Solanum lycopersicum: one gene and its partner. The protein of the gene in region 1 binds, or shares a complex with, the protein of each later gene. Links are inferred from orthologs where the notes say so. Each region holds a gene or a part of one and is shown in the gene's direction. Other genes may lie near its edges. The genes, in order: small ribosomal subunit protein cS23 and small ribosomal subunit protein bTHXc.

Region 1 (3,758 bases):
GTATAAAAAAATGTAGTTAGAAAAATGTTTTTAATAAGAATTTGGTGGATTGGGTTATGACATGCACTATCTCAAACTTAAATAACTTCTGATCAGTCTATTTATTAACTCAACTCATTTTGACTCATTTAAATTCAATTCAACTCATTCATTTGACGTTGTTCTTATCATCATTCTGTAGAACTTACATTTACGACTTGACAACACATCCTTATCACATAGTACCCTAGTACGAACCTTCATTTTATCCAGTCCATTTCAATTATGCAATGTACGATATCATCATCAATCTCCGTTCTTCCGGGATACGACACCTCTAGCCCAATATTAGCTCTTAGGAAAAATAAAACCAAGCGTCACATTGATCATAAAAATATACTTTTTTGTGTATGTAAAGGGCAAATTATAAGTATGAATTGAATTAGTGGTTTCTTCAAATTTGCAACTCATTTTGATCACTTCATAATTAATATGACTAATATTAATATTATTATTTTTTTATTATATGATTTTGTCAATATCATAAAATTCAGCTCAAGTAATGTTTTTTCTTCATAAACTTGAATGAGTAGTACGCATGGACATATATATCAAAAGTCGTCTCTTTTACTAATTATGTAGAAAATGACATTGAAAGAAAAATATTTATGATATATGAACTTCATTTTCAATTTTTTTTCAGATCTTATTAAAAAGATGGCTTTTTATTAATACCAATAAGAAAGAATGTAGCTCTAGGACATTCTTAATATGCCCCTCTTTTGTTAATATTAGAGATTTAATTTCACGAATAGTCAAAGAGGCATACATATATCACACTCATCCACATGTTCAAGGCGCAACATCTATCTCAAAAAATGATTTTCTAAAAATAATAATGATAGACGTGTTAAAAAAGTAATGTGAAGTCATTGTCGAGAGAGTTGCTGACTAATGACCTAAAAAAGTACGTAACATTTGAGAAGCACGAACAATCTTCACCCATGAGATACATTCTACTTTTTTTTGAATAATCAGATAATATTGATCAATTTGATTAGGGATGACAAAATTAATCTATAAAAATCTGATACTCATAAGTTTTGTCTACTAAGAATTGTAAACTTGATAAAAGTTGAACATATTAGACTACGACAAAATACTAACCCATCTTATCTCAAATTTATAATCTTCAAACAAATCGATACCACTCGTTTATCAACACAACTTTAACTCTCAAAAAATTGTTCAATCCGCTCGTTTGACATCCCGAATCAACTCAACGTTGCTAAATATACAAAATTAGTAAAGCTATGATAACTAATGATCATATTTCTTTTGGGCCCAAATCCCATAACATGACCAAAGTCCTCACCCATAGGCCTCTTAGCCCAATTTAAACAACTTTCATTTTTTTTCTTCTATTACCTTATCCATTCTATCATTATCTCAAATTCTCTATACACACTCTTTTTAAGGCCACAATTTTCCCACTTCACTTTTTTTCATCACTAGACAAATATTTTTTTTATCTACACAAAAAATGTTATCAATGTCTGTTCAATCTAGCTTGAAAGGCAATTTGAGTATCCCTTCTTTACCTTCACAAAATCCAGGTTATAAATCCTTCAAATCATGTTCTTCATTATCTTTTAACAACAAAGGTTTATCAACAAGAAGAATTCATAAGATTTTTGCTTCAGCAGTTGCAGAAGCAGAATCAGTTGAAGTTGAGACTTCAGAGTCTGTTGTTCAAGAAATTGAGGTAAAAAATCAGCTCTTTAATTTTCAATTAGGTAACTTTTTTCGATAACTTAGTGTCTAGATTAGTTTTTGCGCTACTCAATTAATTTCATGAATGGTAGTGTTACTTCTCACTAGTAAAATTGAGTAATCTTTGTCTGATTTTGACTTGATACGTAATTTAAGAATGTAAATACTCCCTCAATCCATCTTTACTTGGTCATTATATTAAAAATAGTCGTCTAACAATACTTGTCCAATTTGAAAAACATGAAAACCCTTGATATTGAATACTACTATTCAATATATAATACATTTTCCAAAGCATCAAATTTATATTCAAAGGATAATATAGTAATATTTTAGAATCATTTGATATATACGACAAATCTAGAATTTTTAAGTCTTTGAATTCACTTTTACTATGATTATTTAACACGTACTGTGTTGTTCGACTTTTCTAAATATGAAATGGTAGTCCAACAACTTCTTAATGAAAATGAGTAATAACTAGCAAATTTATGAATGTTTTAATTAATAAAAAAAAGGCATAATTGGGGAAATATATTGATCATTTAGCTAAAAACAGAACAAAAATGGAGTTAAATTATAGCATTACCTATAAATATAAGTTATGTTTCGACAAAAACTAGATATATCAATTCGTACCCTCGAGCCCTAAAATTTTAGTGATGATGAATTCAACCTCTAGATCAAACATTTGTGTCATATACTTGCACCCGTACCAAAACAACATAATGTATGTACATATTGACCCAAAAATAACAGATTCAGTTGAACACTTGAACACATTTAACTCATCCTAGCTAGATACGCCTATGACAAAATCCAATCTCTGACTTCCACCCGTGTCAAATACTCAAACTCGTATTGAAACGTCTACATTATTAAAGATGAAAATAAGAAGTTCAGTTGAATGCACATAATTCATTCCAGATACGTACGACTATATAAATAATAAGCCCAAAAAAGGATAGGATATTATGTTTTGATATCTTATAGTGAATTCTTGGATATATTTTTTTCAGAAAGTTGATATGAAGAAAAAGGTAATTGAGAAGCCAAGGCTAGTGCTAAAATTCATATGGATGGAGAAAAATATTGGACTTGGCCTTGATCAAGTTTTACCAGACCATGGAAGTGTACCATTAAGTCCATATTTTTTTTGGCCTAGAAAAGATGCATGGGAAGAGTTGAAAACAACACTAGAGAGTAAGCCATGGATATCACAAAAGCAAATGATTATTTTGCTTAATCAAGCTACTGATATTATCAATTTGTGGCAGCAGAGTGGTGGAAATTTGACCTAATTGTTGTTTTTGGTATTTATTTGTAGACAAATTGTTTCAACTTTCTGTTTTTGTTTTATCTTATTTTTAACTGTACTATAGTTGATGGAGAATACAATTGGAATCATTTTTGTTTCATTTTTTAAATTGTTTAATGTGTTCTGACTGGACGATAAGATAATCAAAATTTGTGAATAATTTAATAAGATAGGTGAAATGAAGATAGTATCAACAAGTTTTATACGCACAAAATTGAAACCATGGCCGATTTTGTTTTCTTTTAATTCAATATATTTTTTAGCGATTGTTCATCTTCCACCGCCCGTTATATTTGGACTTTATTATGAACTAAAAGCCCGTAAAGTCTCTCTAGTTGGGTTGGTTCATCCTAACAAGGCCCATGGGCTCTATGGCAACTCTCACTTGAAACTTGCGATGGAAGAATCCTCTTTTCGTAATTAGTGGCTATACTAAGGGTAAGTTCCCGCGATGTTCAACTACGACATCGTATAAAGGCCTTCGTGCCCAATGTTTCCTGTGAATTCGAAGTACAGAAATTTTGACAGAAGTTTTTTTTCCCGCGCTCTGTGAATTCTCCAATCCATGGCTCCTAAAGCAGATAACACTGAAGGTAACTTCTCTCGCCGGATAACAGAATTGAATATTTTCGTAGTTGTAATCTTAATTTACAGATTCTAAAGCTTATCGACTTTTTGTTACTTGAAA
Region 2 (3,691 bases), about 62 Mb from region 1:
TACCAACAGGCAGTGGCAGCTGAGCCTAGGAACCCTTATTATAGATGTACATATGCCAATTTCTTGTGGAACACGGGTGGCGAGGAAACTTGTTTCCTTCCAAGTAGTACTTCTTCTATCAATAACAAGAAGGGTGAAGAAGTTTAGTCGTAACAGAGAAAAATTGTTCAAGAAATGCATCAAACTAAGGAGAAAAATGGTGAGATTCCCTTATGCTTCTGGTAATTTTAACTACAGAGTGGAGAAGAAGTTCCTCAAGACGTCGATTTAAATCACATATTTGAATAAATACTAACGTGAATGATCGATCTATTGTGTTTTTTTTCTGTAGGGAAATGGCTATATTATTTGTTCTTGATTTTCTGTGTCTAGATTGAGTAGAGTGATTTGCATGGGAGCTGTTCACCACCACCAACAACAACATCTACGGTTCAGTACCAAACAAGTTGAGGTCGACTATATGAATCTGTACTGTCATAGTTCGAGGTCAATTTTGTGGTCGATAATAAGTGAATTGAGTTCTCAAATTTTTGTAGAGTAGGGTATTTCATCTTTTGACTGACTTGTTATTAATATATTTTTGTATTTTTGAGTGAGTTTGGTAAAAAAAAAATTATAATCAATTGGGAATGTCTTGTATGATTAATCATTGTGTTACTTCCTACATTGTATATCAACGTACATTTTTTTCTTTTTTCTTGTCTTTTAAGAAATATTAAAAATATTTATTTTTTTACTAATTTACTGTTATAATTATTTTTCATAAATTCTATTTTTTGTGTCTTTATCTGTTAATAACAAAAGAGGAACTTTACAATATTTATATTTTTAATCAAAAAGAGTCGATTTAAGGTGCAAAATGGAAAAAAATAGAATTAATTTTTTAATTTGACAAGTAATTTTGAATAAATATCTTTGTTAATGTAGACAAGTAGTCTGTCATAGAGGTGTACTATTATCTCATTACTTCTCTTAATTATTATATATGTTAAAATTTCTTTATGTATGTGATGAAATCTAACTATATTTATACTCCCTCCGTCTCATTTTGCAATTTATTTGTCTATTTTCACACATAAAAAAAGATAATTTTTTTTCTTATTATATTCTTATTTAAGCTTCCTGAAAATTTTTAAGTTTTAATTCATCTTTTTCGAAATCATAATTAATAAGGGCAAAATTGTAACTTCACTATTCTAATTATTGCTATATTAATATGTTTGTCATTTCTAAAATGGACAACTAAATAGGAACAGATAGAGTTTGAGATAACACTATTATTCCTTATTTCTCGTTCCAAACAATCCTTTTCAGGTCTCAGTTTATTGCTTGATATACTTTTACATAAAAAATAATTGATCTTCTGATAACTTGAATTCACAATTTTAAAGTTTAAAATGAATGGTATTTACCATCCAAGTAACTCTTAACGTTTTTTTTTTTAAAAAAAAAAAACAAGGAAAAATAAGTGAATTTTACCTTAATTCAGGGGTATTTGAATAAAAAAAAGACAAAGGGCACATTATCTAGAAACAGAATAAGAAGCTATAGAACCACCACAAATAAAATCTCAATTCTATCAGTTGAGCTGCTGCAATGGCGTCGTTGTTAGTTGGTTCAGTTCCTATGAGTACTGTTCAATCCATGGCTTCTCTTTCTCCTAATTTATCATTCTCTCGTTCTCACTCCGTCGCCGGCAGCGTTTCAATTACGGCGGCATCTCCTTCACCATCAATTTCGTTTTCGTCTCTCACTGATTCAAATCTCCCATTGGGTACGAATCACATACCTTTTCGAATTTATTGTTTGTGAAAATTTTGTGATGATTGAAGTTTCAGTTCGAGAAATTGAAATTTTGATTTGATTTCATTTTCAGTTTACTGCGGTAGAGGTGATAAGAAGACGGCGAAAGGCAAGCGGTTCAATCACTCCTTTGGCAATGTGAGTTTGTATATTTTGGTTTATTGCAGGATAAGACCTCCTTAATATGATTTAGTTTCAGATACACCCCTGTATATTTTATAAACAAACACTTACCTCCTCTATATTAGGAGAATCCTACACTAACATTCTAGTTTGATACGTGGAATAAGAATAATAATCTCGAAATAGAATTTGAGATTAAATTTATTGCATATTTGAGTTAAAGGTATTGGCTTAAAATAACGAGTGTATCGAAGATGAATAAATAATTCCATGAGATATTTAATGTATTTATGCCTTTAAATTTTAGAAAAGAGAAGTATGTGTTTTGTTGAAATTGATAAATAAGATATCAACACAAATTACTTAATATGAATAATTTTTTAACTCATATTTGATTAAATGAATGTTAATTCCATATAAAATGATTTATAGATTCACTTGGAATAAGATTATTGGTGCATAAGGTTTTGCATAATTAATGCAGGAGTTTAATGCTTTTAATATTATAGAATTTTATACTGAGATTCAATTGTTCATACATTTAGACGAATTGACCCCTAAAAAGTTTTGAAGTTTATTTTTGATTGCAACCTAGATGCATCTCGACTAATTTTATCAATAGATGGGATAAATTACCTAGTGTTATTTTGTCTCTGATAGAATTTGAACCTGAAACCTCATGATTCTCGACCCTCTTCGTTAACCACCAATGTTGATGATAGATTCAAAATAGTCTGTTAAATATGCTCTAACCAATTTTTAGTACTTTGAAGTTTAGAGTGTTATCATCATACGTTTAACAATTTATGTTCGTTAGATTTGACAGAAATAGTGAAAAAACAACAGTTGTTTCGACATTTTTTGTTGTTATTTTGAACTGATTCCGATGGTATGAATTGGTTTAGGCAAGGCCAAGGAACAAGAAGAAGGGAAGAGGACCACCTAGGGTTGCAGCACCACCAGCAGCACCAAAGAGAGATCCATTTGATGATGGCCAAGTCGTTAAAATTGAAATACATGACCCATAGTTTTCTCGGAGGAGCAATTTCATTTTTATGTAGCTCTAATCTTCTACTACTTTGTTTATTTCATTGAAATATCGATTAAGTTAATCATTTGGACTGAGATTTCTAGTTTGCTTGAAGGGTCTTCGTTTAAATGCTCTTGTGTCCTGTTAAATTATGCATTTTGGTTCTAGCAACCTTCAGTAGACAAGTGGTAATAGTCACTACTTTAGCTATTGAGAAAAGTGAAAAGCTTAGAGAACCCCACATTCCTTATGGGTTGAAAACCACGAGGTTTTAGGTTCATATACTAGCGGAGACAAACACATTAGGAGGTCTTTTTGTAGAGTGTATAAGAATAGTAATATATAGTGTATTACTAATGCTGGGATTAGTTATGTTGGAGCTATTTCCTACCCACTATTTGGTTTGATATATTATCAAGGGCACTTTGGCCTCGAACAAAGAAAGGATCAAAAAATGTCATAGCTAATACATCCTACCAAATGACCCCTAGGTGGTTCTTATTTAGACCTTCGTGGATAGAATTACTCCATATCTGTGCTGGTTGGAGGTAACCTTTACCTCGAAGAATTAGTCAAGATGTGAGTGAGCAAATCCAGTCACAAAAAAACTTCTTTTGTTTGGGTCACCAAGTTTGTCTGCGTCCACTATACAATCATAAACCAGCTTTACAGCAGGACACAAGTTGGATAAATAGAATTCACATACATATTGGTTGAAGAAAATGCTGATTTTGA

What was found.
Region 2: small ribosomal subunit protein cS23 (region 1) and small ribosomal subunit protein bTHXc share a complex: the UniProt entries of both Arabidopsis thaliana proteins name them as parts of the 30S ribosomal subunit. The link is inferred for Solanum lycopersicum from reciprocal best matches to the Arabidopsis thaliana genes PSRP3/1 and PSRP4.

What each region holds. Positions count from the first base shown.
Region 1 is NC_090804.1:4,043,187-4,046,944, reverse strand, and holds small ribosomal subunit protein cS23, read left to right. Parts: upstream 1-1,435; 5' UTR 1,436-1,522; coding exon 1,523-1,744; intron 1,745-2,771; coding exon 2,772-3,053; 3' UTR 3,054-3,170; downstream 3,171-3,758. Other genes in the region: homologous-pairing protein 2 homolog, read left to right, coding at 3,636-3,663. UniProt on the Arabidopsis thaliana protein: Component of the chloroplast ribosome (chloro-ribosome), a dedicated translation machinery responsible for the synthesis of chloroplast genome-encoded proteins, including proteins of the transcription and translation machinery and components of the photosynthetic apparatus.
Region 2 is NC_090804.1:66,171,985-66,175,675, forward strand, and holds small ribosomal subunit protein bTHXc, read left to right. Parts: upstream 1-1,373; 5' UTR 1,374-1,596; coding exon 1,597-1,774; intron 1,775-1,876; coding exon 1,877-1,941; intron 1,942-2,831; coding exon 2,832-2,954; 3' UTR 2,955-3,085; downstream 3,086-3,691. Other genes in the region: uncharacterized protein, read left to right, coding at 1-147.